Rattus norvegicus: one gene and its partners. The protein of the gene in region 4 interacts with the protein of the main gene of each other region in a pairwise test. Links are inferred from orthologs where the notes say so. Each region holds a gene or a part of one and is shown on either strand. Other genes may lie near its edges. The genes, in order: Txlna, Zfyve19, C5h1orf94, Cchcr1, Trim27, Card9 and Washc3.

The links.
Region 1: the proteins of Cchcr1 (region 4) and Txlna interact in binary tests that used the Homo sapiens proteins (3 or more experiments, as listed by UniProt). The link is inferred for Rattus norvegicus from reciprocal best matches to the Homo sapiens genes CCHCR1 and TXLNA.
Region 2: the proteins of Cchcr1 (region 4) and Zfyve19 interact in binary tests that used the Homo sapiens proteins (3 or more experiments, as listed by UniProt). The link is inferred for Rattus norvegicus from reciprocal best matches to the Homo sapiens genes CCHCR1 and ZFYVE19.
Region 3: the proteins of Cchcr1 (region 4) and C5h1orf94 interact in binary tests that used the Homo sapiens proteins (3 or more experiments, as listed by UniProt). The link is inferred for Rattus norvegicus from reciprocal best matches to the Homo sapiens genes CCHCR1 and C1orf94.
Region 5: the proteins of Cchcr1 (region 4) and Trim27 interact in binary tests that used the Homo sapiens proteins (3 or more experiments, as listed by UniProt). The link is inferred for Rattus norvegicus from reciprocal best matches to the Homo sapiens genes CCHCR1 and TRIM27.
Region 6: the proteins of Cchcr1 (region 4) and Card9 interact in binary tests that used the Homo sapiens proteins (3 or more experiments, as listed by UniProt). The link is inferred for Rattus norvegicus from reciprocal best matches to the Homo sapiens genes CCHCR1 and CARD9.
Region 7: the proteins of Cchcr1 (region 4) and Washc3 interact in binary tests that used the Homo sapiens proteins (3 or more experiments, as listed by UniProt). The link is inferred for Rattus norvegicus from reciprocal best matches to the Homo sapiens genes CCHCR1 and WASHC3.

Annotation. Positions count from the first base shown.
Region 1 is NC_086023.1:147,266,474-147,270,443, forward strand, and holds the start of Txlna (alpha-taxilin), read right to left. Parts: upstream 2,801-3,970; 5' UTR 2,688-2,800; intron 2,238-2,687; 5' UTR 2,232-2,237; coding exon 2,066-2,231; intron 1,369-2,065; coding exon 1,030-1,368; intron 1-1,029. UniProt on the Homo sapiens protein: May be involved in intracellular vesicle traffic and potentially in calcium-dependent exocytosis in neuroendocrine cells.
Region 2 is NC_086021.1:126,652,822-126,655,564, reverse strand, and holds part of Zfyve19 (abscission/NoCut checkpoint regulator), read right to left. Parts: intron 2,711-2,743; coding exon 2,602-2,710; intron 1-2,601. UniProt on the Homo sapiens protein: Key regulator of abscission step in cytokinesis: part of the cytokinesis checkpoint, a process required to delay abscission to prevent both premature resolution of intercellular chromosome bridges and accumulation of DNA damage.
Region 3 is NC_086023.1:145,607,495-145,611,598, forward strand, and holds the start of C5h1orf94 (uncharacterized protein C1orf94 homolog), read right to left. Parts: upstream 2,801-4,104; 5' UTR 2,654-2,800; coding exon 2,340-2,653; intron 1-2,339.
Region 4 is NC_086038.1:3,216,266-3,219,765, forward strand, and holds part of Cchcr1 (coiled-coil alpha-helical rod protein 1), read right to left. Parts: intron 3,115-3,500; coding exon 2,811-3,114; intron 437-2,810; coding exon 273-436; intron 162-272; coding exon 26-161; intron 1-25. UniProt on the Homo sapiens protein: May be a regulator of keratinocyte proliferation or differentiation.
Region 5 is NC_086035.1:48,243,349-48,247,403, reverse strand, and holds the start of Trim27 (zinc finger protein RFP), read left to right. Parts: upstream 1-1,346; coding exon 1,347-1,766; intron 1,767-2,298; exon of another isoform or gene 2,299-2,437; intron 2,438-2,503; exon of another isoform or gene 2,504-2,641; intron 2,642-2,849; coding exon 2,850-2,945; intron 2,946-4,055. Other genes in the region: uncharacterized protein LOC134482717, read right to left, coding at 379-415, 1,020-1,348. UniProt on the Homo sapiens protein: E3 ubiquitin-protein ligase that mediates ubiquitination of various substrates and thereby plays a role in diffent processes including proliferation, innate immunity, apoptosis, immune response or autophagy.
Region 6 is NC_086021.1:29,575,603-29,579,676, reverse strand, and holds the start of Card9 (caspase recruitment domain-containing protein 9), read left to right. Parts: upstream 1-1,274; 5' UTR 1,275-1,492; intron 1,493-2,576; 5' UTR 2,577-2,588; coding exon 2,589-2,772; intron 2,773-3,156; coding exon 3,157-3,294; intron 3,295-4,074. UniProt on the Homo sapiens protein: Adapter protein that plays a key role in innate immune response against fungi by forming signaling complexes downstream of C-type lectin receptors.
Region 7 is NC_086025.1:24,507,125-24,511,343, reverse strand, and holds the start of Washc3 (WASH complex subunit 3), read right to left. Parts: upstream 2,801-4,219; 5' UTR 2,654-2,800; coding exon 2,603-2,653; intron 2,046-2,602; coding exon 1,947-2,045; intron 1-1,946. UniProt on the Homo sapiens protein: Acts as a component of the WASH core complex that functions as a nucleation-promoting factor (NPF) at the surface of endosomes, where it recruits and activates the Arp2/3 complex to induce actin polymerization, playing a key role in the fission of tubules that serve as transport intermediates during endosome sorting.

The DNA of each region.
Region 1 (3,970 bases), on a different chromosome or scaffold from region 4:
CGCACGCGCACGCACGCGCACACACGCGCACACACGCACACACGCGCACGCGCACACACGCGCACACACACACACACACACACACACACACAAAGAGAGGGTATTGCTATGTAGCCCAAGCTGGCTTTGAACTCAGCATCTTCCTGCTTCTGTTCCTCCTAGTTCCCCATTAGAGGCATACACTACCATATTTGGTTTGCATTAGGTTCTAAGTTCGTATTTTCACATTGTCCCATCACTCCTGTCCTTTGTTTGTGATAAGGTTTCATTATGCAGCTGGCTGGTCTGGTACTCAGGAGATGCACTTGCTCCTGCTTCTCAGGTACTGAGGTTAAAGGTGTACGCCATGGTGCCAGGTTGCCACTGCCTTGCTTTACCTCAGCCGGGAAGCCTTACAGCTGTCTCCCTTGGGTTCCACTGTACTCAGCACAGACCAGGTTCTGAGCTGTCAGCCCTGGGAGGCCCAAAAGGTAACACGGAGATGGCAAATCCAACCAATGGAGGCCTCTGCTTACTTTCTATTATTTTGGTTACCAATTATTCAGCTGGTCAGATGCGACTGGGGGACTAACCAGGTAGGAGTCAGGTTTTCAGATCAAGAAGGCCCTTTCTTGATTCTGAAGAGGTCTGTGGCTTACCTGGTCCATGTTGATATTTCAACCTTGGTGTAGCCCAATTCTATTGCTGTACAAACAGGGAAACTAAGACCCTCTCTAGGAGTGGAGAATAAACATGCCCAAAGTCAAACAGCAGGTTGAAAGTGGTGTTGTCGAGCACTTAGGCCTCCCTCCGGTTTTCCATATTCCCAGTGAGAAAGCTAGTTGGATTCCTGCCTCCACTTGGCTCCCAAGGCCAGGAGGCCTTGCACAAGTGAGTGATCTGAACAGCTCAATGGGATGACCCCATCTTTGACTAAACTGGGGGGATGTACTGTCTTGAAAAGCAGATTCTCTTGTGTCCAGACAGAGCAGGCTAGCCCATGAGATGGCAAGTGTTCACTCCCTCCCGTCAGCAGGAGCTCCCCCTCACCTAGACCCTTGGCTTTCTTCTTTTCCTGTGGCCTTCGAAGGTCTCGGTCTCCAACCTCGTCACTTGCTCGGATCTCTTCTGTGCCAGGCTCCCCCTTAGAGGTCTCTTTCTCGCCATTGACGACTGGAATGCCCGGTTCAGGCTCCCCATTCCTGGCTGCATAGGTTCGGGACTTCTCTGTGTCTTCAGGCTCAGTGGGCTCCCCCTGAGCTCCCTCCTCACCTGGGCCTCCCTGATTGTTGTCCACACAGTATGTACTCAGAATGTCTTCCAACTGTCGGCTCAGCTCCTCAGAGACATCACAGAGGGCCCCAGACTGAGATGCTTTAGCTCGAGCGCCTACAAGATGAAGACAGTGAACGTTAGGTGGTTACACCGCTCCCTTGGGTTTTCTTCTTCTTTAAGCCCAGACAAACACCACTTGTGTGGGTTAAACGTTCCATTTATTTATTCAGTTGAGACAGGCTCTCTCTACAGGGCCTTGGCTGTCTGGGAACTCACTATGAGGATGAGGATGACCTCAAACTCAGATCTACCTGCCTCTGACTTCTGGGTTCTGAGAACAAAGGTGAGGGCCACTATGCCTGGCCTCAATTTAATTTTTTTAAACCCTAAGTCGTATAAAACGTTTTTATAAGACGAAACAATTATTTCTAACACCCAAACATACTTGTTATGACCATCAAAGACAACTGTGTAAAGCACCCCTACAAGAGGGACGACTGACGTGTAGCAGACGCTCTGTCTTATGAAGGACAATTAATCACCGGGCACTGGCAAGTGGGAATATGACTTTGCTTATGGGGCGCCTCATTTGATTGTCATTTGGTTTAAACCAGTCAGAGCATGCCCCCAAGGTTCCGTTCCAGGGCTAAGAGTGGAAAGCTTCATCACCTCCCTAGGAAACATGAGGATCACAGAATGGGCATTGTTTCATTCTATAGTTCCTCCTTCCTGGGTAAATACTGGCCTCAGATAGATGCAAGTACCAGAAACTCCTCCCTCTGCCCACTGGAAAAGCAGAGCTGGCACACACCCTCGGTCTTCCCAGGAGCCTGGCTTGTGGAACCTTCAGCTTCCGCACCAGGAGCTGTCTGTCTGGGCCGTCCATGAGCTCCCTCCGGTCCTGCTTCCCGTTGCCCAGGGCTGTTCTTCGGGTTGGAGTGTTTGGCAGGCCCATTCTTTTTGTCTTGGTTCTTCATTGTGATCTGCAAGGCCAGAAAAGGGGTAGATCCTTTACGGACACCGCTGCTATTTTCTAGACTTCAAAATTCTTCACAACCTAGATGAGAAATCTCCAAATCTGAAGCTCTAAGCTTCAAACAAACTGGTCGGCCTTCGCCTGAGACTTCACGGTCCCGGGCAAGGTTTCCGAGAAGCTGCACCAGCACAGAGTGAAGGAAGGAAGAGGCCTCCCTTCTCCTGAATGCCACTTCTCAGCACCACACGGCTCCCTCTCGGCAGCGGGAGCGCGGGATTGGCTCAGAGCCGCAGACTGACGTGGCGGGATGCTCCAGTCCCGACCGGCCCCCCGCCCCACCAGGTCCCACGTGGGATTCCCGCGCGCGCGCGCGCGTACACAGAAGACACCCACACCCCACGCGCCCTCTAGACCCGAAGTACGCATGCGCAGCACGGCAGCACACAACTCTCCCCACCCCGTCCACAGAATTAGTTGTTCCTCCGCGGCTAACGCGTCCTGGGTCATGGACCCTCTGAAGAGCTCGTCCCGTGTACAGCCCAAAGACATACTTCACCGCGGACGTCCGACCGCGTCCCCGACTCTGGCCGAGCACCGGAAACCTGGGTAACTGCTGCCAGCTGGACCACCCTCTCCTGCGGCAGCCAATCAACAGCAAACGCTGGCGCGGAGCTTGCTGGGAAAAGAGGCCAAGGCGGCTTTGGAGGCGGGAGTGGGAAAAACTACGAGTCCCTTCATGCCTTGCGGCAGGTCACAACTCCCGAGATGCAACCGAAAAGCTTAGGAGCCAAATACCCTGAGGGTCCGAAATTATGTCATTCGGTCTAGAGATTCGTGTCAGCCTCCTTCCTAGTACAGAAACTATGATTGGCCCTTAAACTTTGGCAGTCTGGATTTTTTTTCATACACTCCCTTATGAACATGTATGACTATTTTAGGATCTCTGAGGACTTGCGAGTGGAAGAGAGAAAGAAGGGTAAACTGTGAATTAGGAGATATTTATCTCACGCCCAAACCACTAATTTGTTATGTGCCTAGTATCCCTCCCCTCTCCATTCCAGTAGAAGGTTTATAATAATCCAAACAATGTGTTCTTCCCTCGTATGTAATAGCTTGGTCCTCATAATTACTCAGAGAAAGAACATTATACTCAGAGATCTGGGAAATATAGGGCAGTACGGAAAAGGCTAATTAAAAGAAAAAAGTATGTACTATTGTTTGTTAGAGACAATGTCTCATGTGTGGCTTTGGCAGGCCCCGAATTCTCTAGGTGTATCAAATTGGCCTTGAATTCAAGAGTTCTGCCTGTCTTTGTCTCTCCAAGACTGGGACTAATGGCACGGGCCACCATGCCCAGGTAAAGGGTAAATAATCTATGGCTCCATCCATCAATACTGTGTGCTTATTGCGGATTCAAACCTGGAAGCCTGACACCACCCATCCTTTTCTTAATCTTCTCCCCAGTGCCCCATTCCATTCCACCCAGCCCAGTCAGGGTTTCTCCGTGTAGCCCTGGCTGTTAGTCTTTGACTATGCTGGCTTCTACCTCAGATCCAACTAAAACCCATCTTAACCATTCTCCGCCATCACAGGCTTTGAGACCAAGTATGCCCCGCCTTCTGACATCACCAGCTTGGATCCTCAGGAGGGGATTGTAGCAAGGAGGTTTGGCTTTAGGCGGATTGGTAAACTCCCACTCAGCCCTGCCCCACTTTCTGCAAAGTACCACGTGCTCCTACA
Region 2 (2,743 bases), on a different chromosome or scaffold from region 4:
TCAGTACTAGACTTTTATTTACCCATTTATTTTTGTTTTTTTCAAGGCAGGGTTTCTCTGTGTAGTCCTGGCCTTCTTGTAACTCACTTTGCCAACCAGGTTGGCCTTGAACTGAGATCTGCCCGCCTCTGCTTCCCAAGTGCTGGTCCCAAGTGTGGGTCCCACGTGCCGGAATTAAAGGTGTGTGCCACCTCCACATCTATTCATTTATTTTACAGACAGGGGTTTGCTGTTGAGTCTATACTGACTGGAACACTTTCTTTTTTAAAATTCTTCTCTCATATTACATCCTGACTTCAGTTTCCCTCTTCCCCCCTCCTGCCAAGCCTCTCTGCCTCAACTTCCCATTCTTTCAGCCCCATGCCAGTCCCTTCAACCTCCCTTAGAAAAGAGAAGCCGGGCTGGAGAGATGGCTCAGAGGTTAAGAGCGCTGTCTGCTCTTCCAGAGGTCCTGAGTTCAATTCCCAGCAACCACATGGTGGCTCACAACCACTTATAATCAGGTCTGGTGCCCTCTTCTGGCCTGCAGGAATACACGCAGGCAGAAAGCTGTATGATGTATACATAATAAATAAATAAATTAAAAAAAAAAAAAAAGAAAAGAGAAGCCCTTCTAGGGACATTAGCCATCCACATCATGGAAGGAGGCAAGAAGTAGTCTCATGAGCAGGCAAAAGAGCCAGAGATAGCCCCTGATCCCACTGTTAGGAATCCCACAGAACACCAACCTATTCAGCCAGAGCATACATGCATAGGACCTAAGTCAGACCCCTACAGGATCCCTGATTCTGCAGGCCCACATGAGTCCCAATCGTCCTTTCTGTGAGTCTTATTCTCTTGGGGTGCCCGTAACTTCTCTAGTTCCTCAGATCCTTCCTCCCCTTCCTTTGCAGGGCTCTCTGAGCTCCCCCTTTGTCTACAGTGTCTGCATCTGCTCCCATCAGTTGCTGGGTGAAGTCTCTCCAAACGCTCTGATGATGATTTGGCAGGCATGACAAACTGTAGATCAAAGGTTTTGTGGTTGGGTTGGTGCCCCTCCCCCTCCCCTTGATGGCCTTTACCTCACATTCTATGACTGCAGAGTAAACCATCATGCCTGAGGAAACTGGTAAGTTTAGTTATATCTTTCAAAGGCATCAACCTTGGGAGTGACAATTTTGGAATTTTGGTTTCTTTGAAGAACACAAAAATATTATAATTTTTGTTTTAATCACAGATGGGGAGTATGGGGCTGCTTCGAATTTTCCACAGCAGCTGACTATGATTTGCCTTGTGCTCTGGCAGGGGTATGATCTTGTCAGCTGCAGAATGTTTCTGCGATTATGGGACATTTGGAACTCTGGAGCCTTTGCAAAGAGTACATAGATGCTGGAGCCCTGAGAGGCTGTTGGTGGGTTTTTGGTTGTTGTTGGTTGCCATTTATCATGTAGTAATGTGCAGAGAAAAAAGCAAGAAGACAAAATTAGGTATCCCGAAAGCGAAGAGCAATCTTGTCCCCAAGGAGCCTGACACCACTAAACAACAGGAAGGTGCCTCCTGTAATGTCATCGTTTTTCTGTCATCTCGTGTTGCCAGTTTAAAGGGCTGAAGAACAGGAGTAGAGAAGACAGAAGCAAAAGTACACCTCCACATACTGAGTGGCTACGCTATGACTTGAGGATCAGCTGTGAGGGGCTAAGGTTTAGCTAGACCCTGTCTTTCAGGGCTGGAATTAGCATTTTCTGGGACCAACAGGGATAAGTCAACGGAAATAGCAATCTTACATAATGGGCAGGAGACCCTTGATGGTAATGCACACGTCAGATGAGTGAGGTCATCCACAGAGACGCTCTGCAGTATTTATCAATCTTAGTTCTTCTGATACACTTAAGGGCATATGTCTTTTCAGGGGTGGGGAGCTGGCCACTGCATGATAGGGTACTCAGTAGCATCCCCACCTTCCACCTACCAGAAGCCAGGAGTGGTAGCCTGTGAACTGTGATAATGAAAATGGGGCTGGGGATTTAGCTCAGTGGTAGAGCGCTTGCCTAGGAAGCGCAAGGCCCCGGGTTCGGTCCCCAGCTCCGAAAAAAAAAAAAAAAAAAAAAAAAAAAAAAGAAAATGTCTTTAACCAAATCTAAAGGTGCCTAAAGCTAAAAATCACCCCTAGTTGGAGCTACTGCTCCGCAGACCTCAGTACCACTGTCCAAGGTCTTCTATGTCAGAGCGCTGCATAGCACGTCATGGGGGTAGTGAACAGCTGAACTGTGGCCCTGCAGAGTACTCTGCTGAGTACTAGTATGAGCCAGGCACAGTCCCAAGCACTTACTGTACTGTTTCATTTATTCTTCACAGCTTCTCCCAGGACATAGGCTTGTAGCACACATAGCTTGAGTTTACAGATGAGAAAGGGTTGGGGAAGTAACTCATGTAGGTGGTGGAAGAGAAATTCCCCACGTGATTCCTGAGCCAGTACAAGAGGCCCACGCTGGCTCCTTCTGGAGCAAGCGCTCAATAAACAGAAGCTCTTTAGTGTTGACCGTTCTCTAACTTACATTCACCTCCCAAAAGGGTGGGCAGAAGAGGCAGGACATGACTTGGGACGCCAAGGGGACAAGTTACCTGAGACTCTTGGTTGCCAGTTTTCATCAATGGCCACCTCAGCTGTCAACTGTGTGAGCAGATCCTGTGTCTGCTGGGCCTGGGTCCTGGTATCTGGTGCCTGGTGTACCTGTGCAGAGGAGGGAAGCTCAGTGGGGAAAGG
Region 3 (4,104 bases), on a different chromosome or scaffold from region 4:
GAGCAATTTAAACCAGAACAGCACAGTTTGATAATTATGGAAATTTACATCTACACACACTTGGACCTTCACTGCCTCATGCAAAGACTGCAGGGTTTACAGAAATTATAACTGCTGTCCTTAGAACGAGTTTATCAATCCTAATTACCAGCAGGACCATTGAATAGTCCTGATTTGTCACCTCCAGCGACCCCTACCGTCACTCCCCCATGGCAGTGAGGAAACCAAAGCTCAGATCAGCCTCGCAGTCACAGGTTCTACAGAGGCACACACACTGCCGAACCTGGTTATCCAACTCCGGCGCTCGCTGCCTCGCTCATTGTGTTCTGCTGGGCGGACAGCTATACAGTTAGGATGAGGCTTATTCATCTAAGTCAGCAGATTCCCAGGTCTCCTCTCAGCCTCAGAACTCCTTCAATCGCAACTGTACTCAGAACTCCAGTGAGTAAAGCGGACCAACACCTGAAGAGCTCAGGCTGAAGTGTGTGTGTGTGGTGTGTGTGTAGTGTGTGTATGTGTGTGTAGTGTGTGTGTAGTGTGTATGTGTGTGTAGTGTGTATGTGTGTGTAGTGTGTATGTGTGTGTAGTGTGTATGTGTGTGTAGTGTGTGTGGGTAGTGTGTGTGTGGTGTGTGTATGTGTGTAGAGTGTGTGTGTAGGAGCCCACTTGACTCCAGGATGGCTGTCTGAAGGCTCCTTGGATCATGGAGCTGTGAAGCCTCCCCTCCCCCAAACTCGACGAGCTACATATTAAGGCGGCCTTGTTTGTATAATGCATCTTTCATTTTCTTAGTTTCCCATCACATTGGACCCTCGTTATCGACTCTGAGGTGGACAAGGCAGGGCACGTCGTCCTTAATTTGCAGATGAGGAAATCAAGGCCAAATGGAGTGAAGTAATGAGCCAAAGGTAGGCCGGTTCAATTTCCGGCCAACTGCAGACTGGAAGTAGAGTCTGTCTCCACGAATTCAGTGTGACCTGGCAGGGAAGGGGCTATCTACTGGAAATTGCTGCTGACCTTTGATCCCGAAAGTGGACAATCAGCTACTTGGCCACTGAGAGAGCTGAGTGCAGCCCCAAGGTTCCCCGTGCCAAGGTGCTTGTCCTGGAGCAGATGGCAATGGGTGAGGCAAAGGAGCTCAGAGCCACTGAACGGACTCGCCACAGGATTCTGGATGGAGCAAGGCCGTTTGCATCGGAGCCTGGTCCTGCTGAGCACAGGGCAGGGGAGGTAGAAGCAGCCAGCATGCCTCCCGCCTTCATCTCCAGCAAGCAAAGGAGCTTGCATAGGGACTGCAGCACTACATTGCTTTTCACCTCAGCTATGCTTAGAGAGCCCTGAAACCAGAGGCGGCTGATGAATGCCGGGATGCACCCCGCCCCCTACACACACACTCCGGAGCATCTATGAACTGAGTTGGAGCATGTGTTGGGGGCAGACAACATTTAATTATCACTTAGGCTTTAATTAGCACTTAATTATTAACACTTAATCCATCTGTAAAATGGGGACACTAATACCTGTTTCATAGGGATGCCGGGAGGATTAATTAATGCGAGCAGCCCACTTTGGAGATGCAGAACCCTGAAAGAGTACTCTGCAGTGGCATTAATCACCACAGCTGATGCAGTCCTTTTCCTAATGAGATCCCTGTCTTCCTCTCTGCTCCTTCCTCTTCTTTCCAATAGCCAGCCCCAACGCTATCCCCTCAACTTTTCCCTAGCACTGAAACACTTAGCTCTGTGCTTCCCCGACAGGGGATTTCCCATCCGGGAAACCGGCTATTTACAGCCATCTTCCCACACTTTAATTTTCTATTATGTCCTCTGAATATGTCAATGCCTTCCCAGTAAATATTTTGATGTGCGCTCTTGCAGTAGCTCTGTGGATGCTGAATGGGACAGCTGCTCTCTGTATTAGGGGATTCCAGATGTGGTTTCCAACCACCAGAATCATCTGTGCCAATGCCTGGACTTTTCTTGGGATAGGGGAAAAGATCATCTAGTTGCTTCTGGGGACAGTCATGAGTCACCTAACCCTTAGATCTTCAGGGACCCCAGATCTACATCATAGCCACCTATGTCTTTAAAATAAGAAACTTCTCCTTAGTCACTGGAAAAGAAGCTGCCAGAAATGGCTTCTTTCCTTGCATCTGGGACTTCAGGACCTTGGCCAGCTCCTCCAACCGAAAGATTTTTCAGATTACAGAAACGGGGTTGAGGGTTGAGGCTTGGGGGAGAGATGTGTGTAGGACTTAACACTGGCCCAGAGCATTTCGACCTAAAGTCAGACTTCATTCCCCCCGCCTTTGATAATCAACCAAATAGGGGATTACTCACTCGTCTTGGAAGCTGACAGCGGCTGTCACCGGGGCAGAGAGCTTCTCCAGAGAGGTCCTGGGCTGCAGGGACTCAGGCAAGCCCTGAACTCTCTTCCAGATGTCATGGCAAATCTTGTCTAGGCTATCCTGGGGTGTGTCCTGGTGGATCCAGACATATCTGGGGAATGGCCCCAGGGCGGAGGGACGCTTGGCCACCAGGGCTGAGGATGGAGGGAGCCCATTTCCACTGGCCATCCTCTTTCTCTCTTTTCGGAAGCCCCTTTGTCCGCCCAGGGCTGGGAGACAAAGGGACTGTCCTCCACCAGCCCTCATTCACCAGAAAGGGAGCTGAAGACTGGACCTGGGAAGTAGTCAGTTCTGGCTGGCTGTTGCTCCAGCCAAGGGATGGGTTTCAGAGGCCTTCGGTTTGGGTGAGGATGAGGAGTAGAGGGCAACTTTCTTTTGGGGAGGGGGGGCTTATGTTGACTTCTTTTTATTTGCTCTTTCCTGGCTTTTGCCCCCCTCCCCCTCTCCCGTAGAAGAAAATATTTAAAAGTCAACAAAAACCAGTAACTTAGTAACCGTGGAATGCCCCGGAACTCAGGAACCAAGCGCCTGGGCGGGCAGAATGACATCTGGGAACGACTAGAGGGGAGGACTGGCTCTCCCCACAGGACCCGGCACTCCCCCGTTACGACACCCCTGTGAGACTTTTCAGGGTCTGGGACTCAGCCCATTCTCTCCTGCCAAGTCACCAGAAGGGCAGGGTAAAGGCCGAGCACTGTACTAGACTGGGTGGGTGCCGGCCATGGGACTGTCTCCTCCCACCTTCCCAAAGGATCCCGCGTACACAGAGGGCCCCCCACCCGCCTACTGCAGGTCCTGGCTTTAGCTCTCCCGGTCGCCCCCTTCTGCTTCCCCTTCTCTCTCTGCTGCAGCTGCTCTGCCTCCCTAAAAAAGAAATGTCCAATGCGGTATTGTGCCGGTAGTCGGCCTGGCCCAGGTCCTCAGCGGACACTTGTCGCGTCCCCCGCGCAGAGCTGCGACCCGCACCGCAGAGGATCCCAACCCTTAAAAGGCCGCCGATTGGGCAGGGCAGGCCCGGGCGGGGTCAGCGGATTTGCGTGTCAGTAGCTCCCACACCCCTGCCGTCGAGAGCTGGGATTCTTTCAGTGGGTTCAAGCGCAACGGCTGGGTGCGCGGGGGTGGGGCACGGGCCGGGCGTTCGTCCCTGAGACTCGCAGGTGGAATGGGGGCGGGGTGGGACTGGAAAGACCCCAGGGAGCTTCCTCTTAGAAGTAAGTCAAAGTGAAACACTGTTCCCATCCCACCACTACATACAAACTTCAGAGGTTGCCTAGAGGTGGGGGACCTGTCCCCTTTCCCCACTGGCTTTAATCCTAACTGCCATCCCACAGGAGCACCGAATGCCAAGAGCTAACTTTAAACCTGATCCTGTTCACCCTCATTAGTTTGTACTACTTTTTATTCGGCGGACACGATGGAAGGAAGCTGAATCTCTAAGTTGCAAATGGTTGTGTCCTGAGTTCAAGAAGCAAGGCTAGAATTCAAAGCTCGGACTCGACATGATCTAATGCCCTTGGCTCCCAAGCTAACCCCAACACTGAGACAGGGAGGCAGGCGGAGGTGGGAGAAAAAGTCGCACCCTTTGATATCGGTGCGGACTGCGATCGTCGCCCCTAAGCCCCTCCACATAGAAGCTTCACCTTTGAAAAAGCGTGAACTTGACGAGCATTCCCTGGTCCCCGAAAACAGTGGTTACT
Region 4 (3,500 bases):
GATCCCCTGGTGTCTTTCCTCCCACCTTCAAGGTGTCTAGCAGCTCCTTCTGTTCCAGCTCCCGTGCCTGGCTAGGAACCTCAGGAGGGACTTGTTCCCCTACATACTTCCTCAGATTCTCCACCAAGGTCACCTGAGCCTCCAGCTCTTCTTGGGTCTTACTAAGGTTGAAGCAGAAATGGGACAGTCCTCAGTGGAACAGCCTGGAGATGATACCCAGCACCACGTCACCTGCTGGGGCCCTTGTTCACACCCCTGCACAGTCCACTGACCTCAGCTGATTCCTAAGCAGTTCTGCCTCCTTCTGGGCCATAGTCAGCTGCTTGGCTTCCCCTGCCTGTTTCATTTCCAGGCTGTTCAGAGACTTCTCCAAGTCCTCAGCCTTGCTGGTCAGACTGTCGAGAGCCTTCTGGTGAGCCTGTGTCAGGGAGGACAGCTGTGGAGGAGGAGGAGGAGGAAGAGGAGGAGGAGGAGGAAGAGGAGGAGGCGGAGGGAGGGAGGAATGCATTCAGAAAAGGCCATCCTGGGGGGCTGGACAGGGGCTCAGCAGCTCAGACCCAAGTTCAGTTCCCAGCACCCACGACAGGCAGTTCAGAGGACCCAATGTCCTCTTCTGACCTCTGAGGCCCTCATACATGTGGTATACACTCACCGACACAACACACACTCACAAGCGAAAATAAATCTTTAGGAGATGGAGGGCCACCTACCACACTATGGGGCCTGGTCTCCCAGAGAGCCATCTGACTGATATGCTACTGTAAGCAAATGGGGGAGATCTTGGCCTCTGGTTCTCCACAGTTATGTTTCAAACAATCGTCAACTGGTGCCGGTTCACTTCCCGGTCTCTCTGTGTTCATTGCTAACAGCTAGAGTAAATGGCCCCACCTCAGGCCTGAGACTTGCCGACTATGGAGATGACTCGTCAGTAAGTGTTTGCCTCACAAGTATGAAGACCTGAGTTAGGAGCCCCAAAACTTTTGCAAAGCCAGGCAGGCCAGCACACACCTGTAATCGCCCCACTCTGTGGGATAGGAGGAGACATGGGTGGATCCCTGAAGCTCCAGGTCTGGCCTCCATGATAAAAGACCTTGTCTGGAGGCCTCACACACGTGCCAGTCACACTCACACCCTCACCTACAGACCCACACCTGAATGTACACACACCCCTCAGTGCATGGCGGGAGCAAAATGTCTTCAACCCCGAGTGCTAGCTCCTCTTTGGCCAACCTGACATGGGCTGCAGTTATTGGAGAAGGGGAAACTCAGTTGAGGTAGTGCACCCATCAGATCAGCCTATAAGCAAGCCAATGGGACATTCTTGATGGTGATTGATTGGTAAGGACCCCGCCCACGGGGAGGTGGTGCCTCCCCTAGATAGGTGGTCCTGAGTTATGCAGGAAAGCCTGCTGACCAAGCCAAAGAGGAACAAGCCAGGGAGCAGTGTCCCTCCGTGGCCTCAGCTTCCCTCAGCCGGCTGTGAGCAGGGTGAGGTGAGCCAGAAGCTTTTCCCTTCCTTCCTGAGGATGCTTTTCGTCAGCTCTTTATCAGAGCAATAGGAACCCTGAGACCTTCCAGTACTTGGGAGGCTGAGTGGGGAGTACTGTCTCAAGTTCACAGCCAGCCAGGCCTACAGATCAAGGTGCTACCTTAACAACCCTCGACCCACAAAGAAGCAGGCTTGCCACACCCACAAAGCCTACAGCACGTACAACACACTTCCCCAAGCTCTCCTGTGGCTCTCCCTGCACCCTTGTGCAGGTGCTGTCCCGCCCTCAGGAAGACCTCTCATCTGCTCTTGGCCTGCTGGCAGCTTTCTAAGCTCTAGCAGCCAATGGTCGGACCCTACTTCAGTGTAATGATGGGGGTGCTCTAGGAAGGGAGGGTCTTCCTCACTAGACCCCAAACCAGGCCAGGGGCAGATGGGGCTCCTGCTTCCCCCTGCAGGGCCGGCCCAGCCAGCCCTGTCAACATCACCAGTGCCAAATCTTTCTTGAAGCCCAGGTCTTTCTGGACATAAAATATAAATCTGATTGTGTTATTTCCCTGTTTCTCTCTGAAGCTCGGTGTGGCAGTGCAGCACTTGGGAGGCAGAAGCAAGAGTCAAGGCTGGCCACAGCTACATAGCGAGACCCTGTCTCGACAACAACAAAAATTAAAAAAACAAAAGCCTTCTTTTCTGGTGACTCGGAGGCTGAACCGGTAGCCTCGTGCAGAGCAGGCGGACACTCTACTGCTGAGTTCCAGCCTCAGTTACTTAGAACCTGTCAGTGGCTTTTTGTCTTTTTTTTTTTTTCCCCCTTTTCTTTTTTTCGGAGCTGGGGACCGAACCCAGGGTCTTGCGCCTCCTAGGCAAGCGCTCTACCACTGAGCCAAATCCCCAACCCCTTGTCTTTTTTTTAAAAAAAGATTTATTTATTGATTATATATAAGCACACTGTAGCTGTCTTCAGACACACCAGAAGAGGGCATCGGATCCCATTACAGATAGTTGTGAGCCACCATGTGGTTACTGGGAATTGAACTCAGGACGTCTGGAAGAGCAGTCGGTGCTCTTAACCACTGAGCCATCTCTCCAGCCCCCATTTGTCATTTTTTTTGACATACCACCAGCCAGCCCATCTCGCTCACAATGTCTGTCTGGAGCTGACTGATTCAGAGAACCTTCCTACAGGTAACTCAAAGACGCAGCCTGAGGGAAACCCAGGTTCTCCCCCAGCCCCACGGGTCTGCTATTCCCGAGGCTCCTTGCGATTTACTGGACAGTGGGCCCTGAAACGCTTTTAAGCCACTCCCCGCTGCGTGTTCACCTGCTCTTGGTGCAGACTCTGAATCTCCTCCAGCTCCTTCTGCTTCGCCTCTTCCAGGTTCTTCCGAACCATTTCCGCTCCGGCCAAGGCGGTGCGCAGGCCCTCGGCCTCGGCTTGCCCGGCCTTCTCCGCCACTGCGAGAGCATCCAGCTCCACGGCCTGAGACTCTAACCTCATCTTCTGCTGCAGGGAGGTCTCCCGAAGGGTCCGGACCTCCTCCTCCAGCAGCCTCAACTCTTGGAGCTGCCGAGAGATCAGCTCAGCCTGCTGGCTCAGGGCACCGGAGACCCCCAGCTCCAGAGACCTTCAAAGACAGGTGGGCACGGGTGAGCTGCTGGGAAGGTGGAAGCAAGGGGCTGAAGCTGAGGCAGGAGGATCGATGCATCTACCACACCACCATCACCCATCAAGTCCCTACTAAGCGCATGAGGTCATCACTATTTGCACTCGGACGACCTAAGGGCTAGTGAGATCGGCAAAGAACACCATCTCTCCAGAGATCTACACACAAGCAGATAGATGCGTTAAACGTCAAACGTGCACATGGGGGAAGGGGGGTACAGGTTTTGAGTGTGAAGATATTTGAATTCTAGATAAAGGCAAAGGAAGGGGTGGGGCGGAAACGCAGGGCCAAGTGATTTTTTTTTTACATTTTTGTTTTTCAATTTGTTTGAGACAGGGTCTCATGTA
Region 5 (4,055 bases), on a different chromosome or scaffold from region 4:
ACACTTCATTTAAACTAATGGATAAAAATCTTTATGGCTCAAGCTGTGTTTTAAAAAGTTTAACTCACGGATGGGGAAAATTCCTGAAAGCAACAGTGTATGGGGGCTCAAGGAAGACACTGAAACAGACTGCTGGGAGTAAGAACTTTATTAGCGCCATAGGCAGATAGGCGGTGGACAATCAGAATTTCTGGCCGCGCCACAGGCGCCAGGGGGAGGTGGGGGCTGGGGAGTGTTCGAGAATGAAGCCCACGTGGCAGAATCAGGGTCGTTTCTTCTAGGGTCTCATAGGAACCCGCGGCCAGGCTCCTTCCTCAGCAGGTGGTAGGGAAGAAGTGTGTCATCAAGTAGCTCTTTGATATGTCTGGTCTGGCTACTTCACTTGAGGAAGTGAGAAACTGGGCACCAGAGGAGCCTGTTAAGAAGTTAGGGACTCACAAGCGGGCTCTCGGTGAGGCAGCTCCCTAGTAGCCGGAAGGCTAGAGAGAAGGGGAAGGACTTCAGTAGGTATCAGGGTCTGGTGAGCACTCTGGTCTGGATTCTATCAATCCCCCATTTCACGCGAGAAGAAAATGAGGCTCGGAACGATAAACAAACTTACTTTAGGGTGGAAGTAGAAGTGGGCTTCTCCATTTCTGCCACTGAGAAAAGTTGCTGATAATAAAACCTTTTTCTGGCGATTATTATCGCCTGGAGTTGGGTGTGTTTCAGAGTGCTTCACACACTGGGAGGGGCTTAGCTGGTCTCTCAGCCCAGTTTTCCGGCACTTATGCAAAGCCACCTTGCATTTAAAGGAGCCAAGGCCTAGGCACTAAGAAGACACCCGGCAAAGGACTACGGATCCACCAAAGCTTAGAGTATCCCGACCCCACTGCCAGGGACACCCTGCTCCCACTGCAAAGGGCAACCACCACCGACTCCCGGGCTGGGTACCGGGGCTCCAGGACTGCGCCGAGGAAACCCGCCTTCCCGCCCCGGAGGAGAGCGGCGCGGGAAGCCAGGCCCCGCCCCCGGCCCACCTCTTCCGCTCGGCCCTTAGGAGTCTGCGCGGCCCTGGGATCCCTTCCGACGCGGCCACGTTGCCCGGTGAGCCATCCTGCAGCGCCGGGTTCCCGACACCCCTCTGCTCGGCTCTCAGCCGGGCCCTGGGGCCCAGGCCTTCCCGCGCTGTCCGTGAGGTGCAGCTGTGCGGGGACGGGTCTGGCCGCCCCAGAGCTCCGCACGCGTCTAGGATCCCCGCGCCGGAGGCCCCACCCCGCTCCGGATCTGAGAAGCCGAGAGAGAGCGCCGGGCTCTGCCAGAGCTCGGCTCCGGGCTCATGCCCTGCGGCCCAGCCGGCTCGCGCCATGGCCTCAGGGAGCGTGGCCGAGTCCCTGCAGCAGGAGACCACCTGCCCCGTGTGTCTTCAATACTTTGTGGAACCCATGATGCTCGACTGCGGCCACAACATCTGTTGCGCGTGCCTGGCCCGCTGCTGGGGTGCCGCGGAGACTAACGTGTCGTGCCCGCAGTGCCGGGAGACCTTCCCGCAGCGCCACATGCGGCCCAACCGGCACCTGGCCAACGTGACCCAGCTGGTGAAGCAACTGCGCACCGAGCGGCCGTCGGGGCCGGACGGCGAGATGGGCGTGTGCGAGAAGCACCGCGAGCCTCTGAAGCTGTACTGCGAGCAGGACCAGATGCCCATCTGCGTGGTGTGCGACCGCTCGCGCGAGCACCGTGGCCACAGCGTGCTGCCGCTGGAGGAGGCTGTGGAAGGCTTCAAGGTAGGGCCGGGCCGGCGGACAAAGAGGAGAGCCGGGGGCTTCCTGGTTTGCCGCCGAGAAAATGGCGAGCCGGACGTGGGGCCCACCGCCGTCATTTCCTCCCTGTCGGCTGCGGAGCCTCCGCGCTCAGACTCGGAAGGAGAACCTGTAGCTGGCGAGGCCAGAGGCGTCCCCACCCCCACCCCTTCTCCGAGCGCCCCCTGTTAACTGCCTCAACGCGTGCCGCGGCTGGGACGGCGCGAGGAGACCCTCCCTTGACAAAGGAGATGCACATGGAGCCATGTCCACTTCCATAGGCCTTGAACACCTCGAACTTGCTCTGGCCCAGGATATCAAACCAGACAGCCCCTGTTGGCTGGCCGAATTCACATCGACCGATGCCTATCACTTAATCTAAGCCCCCAGCGCTTCCCTGTAACCTGTTTTAGAACCTAATGGAAATGAACAGAGCTCTTTACTGCTTGAGTAAATCATTTAGCCACTCTCAGACTCGGGAGATAACTTAATGAAGAGGAAGTGAACTCACAGGACCTGAAGAGGCCTTTGTTGAATAAACACTGGCACAGCTACACAGTAATTCGAAAATGTTACATATAAAGTAACTCTCAAGTGATAATGAGTCTGTTTTGAGGACTGCAGGGATATGTACCAACAGTTAGATTTGTTTAAATGTGAGTTCATCCAAATGTCAGTCACGTTTACAAAGCTGTATCATTTCACTCACTGGAAATAAAGTTGTAATTTAGTAATGCTTACCAGTTCTGTGCATGAGGAAAATAAATCATTTTTTTCTGTATTCGTCTGAGGAATAGCTTACCTTTTGAGCCTCTTTACCCAGATGTCTCATAACCTGTGCAGAATGCTTCTAGGAACTGGTAGGTGGCTTGAGTTTAACAAATTTCTAAAACAGCTGTGCTGGACCCTGTGCTTTAGGCTCTTCCCAGGAATGGCACTGTGGTCTGAGGACAGAGTCCAGCCCGGCCTTGGCATCTGTAGTTTGGGTTCCTGTGTCATAAGCAGAGTAGCTATTTTGATGCTGAGATCTGCAAAATTCTGAATTGGCTGACTGTTTACTTTCTTCAGGAGCAAATCCAGAATCGGCTGGACCACCTAAGAAGAGTGAAAGACTTGAAGAAGAGACGGAGGGCACAGGGGGAGCAGGCACGAGCTGAGCTCCTGGTAAGGGTCCAGGTCTCCAGCCTGCAGAGAGGCATTGCATCAGGATAGCCTTGGCAAGGGTGTAATGAAAACTTCTAAGCAGAGCATTTCCCCTTGGTGTCTGTCATTCCTATCATTTAGCTCCATCCTGTCTCTGAGTGAGTGCGATCTTGACACCTCTTGCTTGAAAACAGGATGAAGAAACTTCTCAGTGATCTTGTGTAGACTAAACTTAAACATACAATGTATCATATCAGCTTTGGGAGGATTTTCCAGAGAGAAATACTTGTGCCAGTGTGTCAGTCACACTGCTTTGGATATACTCAGTAAATTGATCTTTAGCCTTAATTTTGTCTAAGGTTATATTGTATACTTTATACCTTTGAAAGACTTATCCAGGTTAAAAGAGGTATAAGGGGCCCTTGGAACAGTTGAATTCAAGTCAGATTTTAGCAAACTTTCTGAAAGGGGCCAGTAATAAGTATTTTTAGCTTTGTTAATTTACACAAGCTAAATCACAACACCTCAGTCATTGCATCTCAAAAACAGCCATGTCTAATACATAAATGAGTGGGTTTGGCTGGATTCAAGTAAAATCTTTCTTGACTGCTCTAGAGCCATTTTGCTGACCATTTGTTTATTCAGAAATAGTTTCACTATGCAATCCAGGATGGTCTTGAACTCTCCATATTCCTGCCTTAGTCTCCCCAAGTGCTGGAATTATAGTATGCACTGCCACACTTGGTTTATAATCTTAGAACTCTAGGTTTTTTAGGATGTCTTAGGTAGCCCCAGTTGATCTTAAGTTCATTATATAGTTAAGAGTGATCCTGAAGTTCCAGTCTTGCCTTGTCTGCCTTCCAAGTGCTAGGAATGCAGGCATGGAGGAATTAGAAATGTAGGAAAGATAGACAAACCAATAGAAACATTGTATGGAGAGGAACCCATAAGCACCCCCTAAAAAATCAGGGCATGGATTACTTACTGAGACCAAGTAAACACATCCAGGAAACTTGTGCTTGCTCGATCATACCAGGTCATGTCCACAGAGTGCACACCTAACCCTGCCATTTCACTGTGATTGTTTCATGACTCCGCCTGCCAGGCAAGATGTTCATGGGCTCCAGTCAT
Region 6 (4,074 bases), on a different chromosome or scaffold from region 4:
GAGCGCTTGCCTAGGAAGCGCAAGGCCCTGGCTTCGGTCCCCAGCTCCGGGAAAAAAAAAAAAAACAAAAAAAAAAAATTATTTGTTTTATGTGTATGAGTACACTGTTGCTCTCTTCAGACACACCAGAAGAGGGAATCGGGTCCCTTTACAGACAGTTGTGAGCCACCAGGTAGTTGCTGGGAATTGAACTCGGGGCCTCTGGAAGAGCAGTCAGCACTCTTAACCACTGAGCCATCTCTCCGGCCCTGTCTCCTTTTTTCTTAGACACTATTATCGTGACACCAGTCCTAAGCCCTTGGCTCTCCAGGAGTTAGTTCTTGCATGTGTTCATCCATCCTCTGTGGGAAATTTCATAGTAAAATGGCGTGAGCAGCCTAATCCTGCTGCTTGTACCGACTGTCAGCAGGTGGTTGTCCTGCAGCCCAGCTCATTGCCCTCTGTTATGTGTCCAGGGACCAGTGTTTTCCATGGCTCCCTCTAACCTCTTCTCCACTCTGGAGTACTGGGGTTTTTTCAGCTATCCGATTGATTTCTACCTCAGATTTATGGGCAAGAGCTTCCCATTTTATTAACACTTTTAAGAAAACACCATGATCTGTATTTTTACTGTTTGGGGAACAAACTCCACTATGGAGGCCTTGTGATCTCCTTCCTGGAGTAACTGCAAAGCCGTGGACCCCTCTTTGCCATCCTGGAAACCCAGCAAGGCACAGTCCCTAGCAATGCCACTCCCAACCCCACCCAGGCCAAAGAGGACTCCTGACTGCTGCTTTTAGAAGTATGGTCCAAGGTCACTGTCCCCACAGGAGCAACAGAAGGGCAGTAAGCCACGAAAGACGGGGCTGGTTGGGCTCTGCTCTTTGTAGGTCTCCCAGCCTTCCCACTCAGCTTTTGCTTCAACTCCTCTCGAAGACTAGGCAGCAGCACCTGTCTAACAGCTACACTGGCTGGTCAGGGCTAGCAGGTCCCCACGCCCATCTCAGGCTGGGGCACGCAGTTCACGGAGGACTCTAGCTGCCTACAGCCCGTGGATTGTCCTGCTGCACCTACCCTGCACCACCGTCCTCAGACGGCAGGTGAGGATATGGGCGGCCATGAGGGAAGAGCGGCTTTCAGAAGCCTGGATCCAGGAGGGCCTTAGACCGCCCATCCACAACGCCAGATTTTCAGATTCTGTGGCTCCAGGTCCGAGTTCAGATGAGCAGGCGGGGAGGGCTCCTCTGCTCCCAGAGTACTTCTACTTCCCTCTCTCCTGTTCCTGGATGGACCAATCAGAAGGTAGACCAGCAGGGACTGCCCCCCCCCCCCTCCCAGGGAGGACTGGCTGGCTTGTGGCAGCAACCAGAACACATCAGGAAGTGCACAGCCTCCCTCATGGCTCCACCCTTCTCCAGTTAGGGAGCATCTCCACACTCCCAGAGGCTCGCTCCTGGAGTGCCCATAGCCCAGGCAGCATCCAGCTGGCAGGTGGCTCCCACAGGACCCTGAGGTAAGTTCACCTTCCTGGAGGTGGGTGGAAGCCTGTGGTGAGTCTGCTGGGGACCCTGGAGCAGCAGTACCTACAGGCAGGTGGCCTCCTCCACCCTCACCCTTCATTTGATTAACCCTGGCCATGGCAGTATAGTCCTCCAGTGCTGGGCCATGTGGCTGTGGGGCTGGAATGGCAGGCAGTGGGCCCAAGGTTTAGAGAAATGTCTGTCCACTGAAGCCACTCACAAAGGCTTCACTTGTCCACATGCAGCTCCACACGAGTAAGCCCCTATGTTCAACTGGCCTGACTGATCCCCATCATGTGGCCAGAGGCCAGGCCTCATCCGGCAGCAGAAAAGCACAGGACTTGCCTAGCACCTGAAAAACTGGAGGGAAGCCGCAGCAGACGTCCAGTGTACCCCAGCCTAGCAGGGAGGCAGGCATGCTCCCACGGCCAACCCTTACTTGCCCTCCCAGAATAGCACCATGCCACAGGCTGTTGCATCACTGGCTACAACGGAAGGCCTGAAGGACTCGGAGCCTGTCAGGGAATGAGGAAGTCACACATAGGCCTGGCCCCCTGGCAGAGTGAGAAAGCCTCCCACCAACCTGACCCTCTTAGTCCCAATCTGGAGACTGGCCAGCCAGGGTCCACGCCACCCAGGGAGGTACTATGTAGGATGGCCAGTAGGGGCAAAAGCTCCCACCTTGAGGGTGTGCCAGGGCACTCCAGGGTAGAGGGCAGAAGCTAGAGCAGGCCTGTTGTACAAGGGCTATTCTCTTAGACCCCCAACCCATCCCTTCCCTGCATATCCACATGACTCAACGAAAGCTTGGGGTGACAGCAGCTTGGGGAAGGTGGGTTTAACAGGTGGCCTGAGGAGGGGCTTGCCTATGGACCTCTGCTTCCCCTCAGAAACTCTCCATGGAGCTGAGGAGATGAAACTGAGCCGTATATTTCCCTAGACTGAGTCCCTTCTGACCCTGCCCAAAGCCCTGCCCTGGCACTCCCAGGCCTGGGTCCTGTCAGGCTGACTGCGCCAGGCCCAGCAGGGAACAGAAGGTGGGCACTTCCTCAGCTGCTCTCCCCAACTGTACCACAGCCTACAGAGGACATGTCAGACTATGAAAATGACGACGAGTGCTGGAGTGCCCTGGAGAGCTTCCGGGTGAAGCTAATCTCTGTCATTGACCCCTCACGAATCACACCCTATCTGCGCCAGTGCAAAGTCCTGAACCCCGATGATGAGGAGCAGGTGCTCAGTGACCCCAACCTGGTCATCCGCAAGCGGAAAGTGGGTGAGGGCTGCTCCCATACCAGCAGGGCCCAGTCCCTCATCATCCCCACAAGACAGCCAGCCAGAGTCTGCTACCTCAGCCCCACCCAGCTCCATCTCCATGTAGGATATGAGTGAGGTCCTCCTCCCCTCTTGTCATGTCTACCTGCTGCTGCCCAGTGGGGGAAGGGAGTCCCCACCATTGTTCAGATCCTCAGAGCCACCAGAGTAAAGACAGCACCCTGTCCCACCTAGACTGAGACCTGCAGGGTGCCTTATGCAATGGCCCAGAAGGGAAGGGGGTGTCTAGAGCTTAGGTTATCTACCCAGAGTAACCATCCTAGCCAGCCCCAAGGGCCTCTACCTACCCAGCCCTGGGCCCTGACTCTGTCTCTTCTGCCTGAAGGTGTGCTCCTGGACATCCTGCAGCGGACAGGCCACAAGGGCTACGTGGCCTTTCTTGAGAGTCTGGAACTCTACTACCCTCAGTTATACAGGAAAGTCACTGGCAAGGAGCCAGCGCGTGTCTTCTCCATGATCATCGGTGAGAGGCACAGGTGTGGGTTGGTGCTGTGGGTGGACTCGGTGCTACTTGGCCCCGGCTCCTGTGATTGCACTGGAGTGACTAAGTCTGACACGAGCCTTCTGATGTAGATCAGGGTAGTGGTCCCTGGTGCCTCTCCGGTTCTCGGGAGCAGGGCCTTCCTGGATTGCTGAGGCCCTGCTGGTCTCCAGAAGGGGAGCCCTTCTCTGCTTCTCCTACTCACAGCCTAGAAATTCCACTGAAGTGGTGACCGCTCTGCAGTGCCATTTCTGCAGGGCCCAGTTGTCAGCCAAGGGCAGAGTCGTACAGTTTCCAGAGGGGACAGAGGTGTCCTCTCGTGGTGGAATAGCCACAGCCCTATCAATTCTCATCCATCTCACAAAGGTCACTGTAAGAGTAACAGAGGGCAGGCATGATGACACACACCTTTAACCTTTAACTCCAGAGGCAGCGACAAGCAGATCTCAGAGTGAGAGGCCAGCCTGGACTACATACATACAACATAAACACGTAAAACAGGGGCTGGGGGGAGACAGAAGGCCGACTGCAGTCCTGGCATGTGAGTGTTTGAGTCAGAATCTCAGTTCGCCTGTGAGGGACAGCAAGGCAGACTGGGCCTAGTGAGCACACTCAGTCTTGAGGGACCCATCCTACCCTCTGGGAGGCCAGGAGTGCTCCCTCTGTCCCTCAAGCTGCTGGTCTTCAAGCACACACTTGTAGACAAGGACGAGCACAGGGTCTGCAGGTGACAGCCACAGCTCCACCTGACACTGCATGGTC
Region 7 (4,219 bases), on a different chromosome or scaffold from region 4:
ATGGGAGAGGTGAGGGGGCCGGGAAGGTGTTGCTCAAAGGCACAGAATCCCAGGAGAACACGTTCCCTGGACTCACTGTATGCTACAGTGACTGCAGCTAAGAGCGAAGTATACTAAGAATGAGGGTGTACATACACAGCAAAGCACACACAAAATTTATATATTCCGTGGTGGGCACAGGAGTCAAAACGGCGTACGTTACGTCATAAAGACTTCGCATATGAAAAAGAGCAGAGGGCAGTAGGCTAACTCCGTATGAGCTGAGCTCTTTATCCAACAAATTTCTCTCTGGGGTTCAGGGAAACATTAGGGGATACGGACCAACTGTGGGGAAGGGAACACTGACAGTGTGGAAGAAGGTGGGGAAAGCTCTGTGAGGTGACACTCGCCATCCTTGATCCTGGCTGCCGATAAGCAGCACCCACTCCCAGACAGCGGAAACTGAGGGGGACTACGAAGACGAGGGGTTATCCTCGCGCAGAGCACATTGTAGCAAACTGCCTTCTGCTAGCTTTTTTTTAACTCAATAGGGACAACTGCGCAATGATAGGCAATGAATATCTGGTTTCTTCTGCTAGAAGCTACAGCCTGCATACACTCTAACCTAGAGCACAAAGGGTCAGATGGGAACTGGAAGGTGAAAATCCCTTCACTCCGCAGGTTCCTTATCCTAGAGAAGCAACGGTGTGAGAGGAAAATGGACTGAACAGATGTTTAGCAGTCCAGAGCACTAGTGGCTCATAACTGTCCATAACTACAGTTCTAAGAAGTCTTAAGCCTTCCTCTGACCTCCATAGGCATCCGACATATGTGTGATAAAAACACTCACACGTATAAAGTAAAATAAGTAAATCTTAATTTTTTTTTTTTTTTTTTGGTTCTTTTCGGAGCTGGGGACCGAACCCAGGGCCTTGCGCTTCCTAGGTAAGCGCTCTACCACTGAGCTAAATCCCCAGCCCCAATTTTTTTTAATAGACCAAAAAGAAAGGAGCGCCCAGTCTCTGGGGCTGCTCAACTATACAGCACACAGAACCGAGCTCCTCACTGCATCAGTAATTACATCTTACTTTCATTTCTCTCAGGGGAAAAGCTAAAGGAATTCTGATAAAGAAATAAAAACTACGGCTGGGGGCTGGGGGTGTCGCTCGGTGGCAGAGTGCGTGTGCCTATCGTGCTCAAGGCCTTAATCACAGCCCATCATATAAACAGCTCAAATTAGACCCAAACGAGAGGTTTCCGGTCTCCAGGCAATTCTGATTAACAGCCACACATCTAACATAAACTCTGTTTTGTCGAAGATAAGCCTCACATAGGACAATATAGGAAAATAGAATATTAAATCGATCCAGCTGTGAAGTGTCTATAAGTTTCTACTTTTTTATTTCCTTTTTTAAAATTCAGTTTCAATATACATTCCCTATTTTCATCCTCCTTAAAACAAACAAACAAAACTTTTTGCAAGATCAGGAGAGGTTCCTGGATCTGGCGTCTAATTCTTACTTTATAAGTCATCCAGTCATTTGCAACAAAGTATTTTTTTGAAACATGTATTCTAGGCTACCCCTGTGAATTGTTTTTGGCTCAAAGGATGCAAAGCAATTCAATATAAACTCAAGCATATATTTAAAATGTAATCTCTTGAGTAGAAAGCTGAGAAAAAAAAACACTTTAAAAAATTCAACTGTAAAATTCTGGATTTCCTTTTGTTCTCATAATTAAACATAGCTGAGCTGTCTCACAGAAGCTTCTAGAATATTAATTCGGCTGAGGTAGGGCACAGGGCTGATGGGGACAGAGTCAGAGGTGCTAAGGTCTTAAGACGTTTGAGTTTCGTGGCAAAGTGAACAACACATGAAGGGTGTAACTCTTGTTTGACTTCATTTGTCAACATGAAGGGTGGAAGGCGACTTCTCGGCCGCTCCAGGAACTAGTAGCCCAGGACCTACCTCTTCACAAACTGCGGAAAACCGGTTGAGAAACTGCACAGTGTGCACCACAAACTGGTTTAGAAAAGCCACGGTTCTTTTCTGTTGAATAGCTGGCACCTGTGTCATGTAAAAACAAACACGATTCTTACAGGAGAAACATACCCTGTGCAACACTTTGGATATCTGGATTTCATAGAGGGGATGGTCTTTGTCCTGGGACATGAATTTCACGAAGGGCTGAGAAGAGTCACTGATTTGTGTTCCTGAATCTGGTGTGTGTCAAAGTGACAGGGGCTGCATGAAGTTTGAGAATGTGACAACACACACACACACACACACACACACACACACACACACACACACACACACACACACGAGCAGCTTCTTGAGGGTCGAATAAGAGGTGAAGTGTTAGAGGTGGTTCTATCTCCAGACTGTCAACCTTAGGCGGAGAGGCACGTGATGTGGGGAGCAAAGGCTGCGTGGCACCCAACCTCTTTTCTTAGCCCAGGAGAGACCCCTTTCAAAGTGGATTGCAGGGCTCCCCCTTCCCCAGGCTAGGAAAATAGGGGCCCGGATTGGGCCTGGAGAGGTGGCGTCTCCCTGGGAACCGGGGCCCCTTAGCCAAGCCTCCTTCCCTGTTCGTCGGAAGCTCAAGTATATCTTTTACAAACCTTGGTCAGGTCTATGCCTGACCCCATGAGAGGAAGCCCATCCTCATCCATCTCCTCAGCGGATGGGGACCCCGGGGCTCAGGCACAAGCTCCTCCCAGCCTGGTAGAGAGACCAGACTCCTTTCCCAAGTTCCTGCCTTCGGGGCCTTTCCGGAAGAGAGCGCGTGTGTTCACCAATCAATCGGTGGCTTCGGAGAGGCCGCCCCGCCCCCTCGCTCTCGCTCTGCATTCTGGGATTGGTAGTTCATGATTCGGATTGTAAAGTTGGGCTGGGAAATGCTGCTGATAAGCAGGGTTCACATTTGCTGTTTAGCTGTAAAATCTGAAAAGATCTGTAGAAAGGGAGGGAAAGAGACAGACAGCGAAATAGAGACAAAGAAACATGCACAGAGACACACAGAGAGACGGGGGGTGGTGGTGTTTACTTGTTTCGAATTGTTACAAAAAAGATCCATAATTCACTGAAGAGCACTTCTCTTTTTATGTGGTCCTACTAAGTGCCAGATACTCTGCGATCAGAATGAGTCTTCAGCCCTGGAGAACCTCATGCCTGGAGATCTGTTTTTAACGCTTTTCTTTTTTTTTAGACATAACATAATTTCAAGCAACAGCTGAGACATACATCAGTGACAGTGACGACGGCCACTTACATCATGTAAAAGATCTTTACACCTGCAGTTTAAAGACTTTGGTTCAGAGTTTGGAACACATTTTACCAGCAAAGTGACTTAGGACAGGTCACCTAAGCGAAAGTAAACCTTTTTATTGTACCAAACAAGGACCGAAGAGATGCCCACATCATCTCTGCTATACTATTCAAAGAGTAATACAGGGAGGACGTGCAAAATTTAGATGGCCACGCAAACAAAATCCTGTGAAAGTTGCACCTTTGTAAGTAAGCGTGTACAAACACTTGTGGGCCCATGAGTACATGCACACCACACGCAAAGTGCTGTGGCTCTGAGCTTCTAAGACGTCCAAGAAGAGGAAGCTGACCTTAGTGTCTACTTAACACAAAGAGGAGTTAAGGTGACGATCTGGAATGAACCTTTGTACAAACAAAGGCACAGAAGCATGAGGACATATGGTGTTTAAGGCAAAGGGAAAGCGGTTTGGTGGTGTAAGCAAAAATGCCCAGTGGTGGAGAATAATGACAAACAAAGCAGAAGTAGACAGAAAAAGCTGATGAAGGGCCTTTTATGTCAGAATAAGAGTCATGTTTTTCTAAATGATTCACGAGCTTCTTTTTGGGAGTGCCTCTTAAAATGCCGATTCTAGAGATTAACCTCAGACAAGACAAATCAGGATCTCTTCTGGGTAAACGTGGATACTTGCATTTTATTTTATTTTATTTTATTTTTGGTTCTTTTTTTTTTTTTTCGGATCTGGGGAACGAACCCAGGGCCTTGCGCTTCCTAGGTAAGCGCTCTACCACTGAGCTAAATCCCCAGCCCCGATACTTGCATTTTAAATACCACTCCCTGGACTTATTCTTCGTTGTGCTGTCTGCAGCAGTGAGCGCCTACTGTCAGGTTCTATGGAACCTCACTGACCGATAGCCCTAAAAGAGGGAATCCGTTCCTAGGACGAGGCTTTTTGTCAGCCTGCAGTATCTAG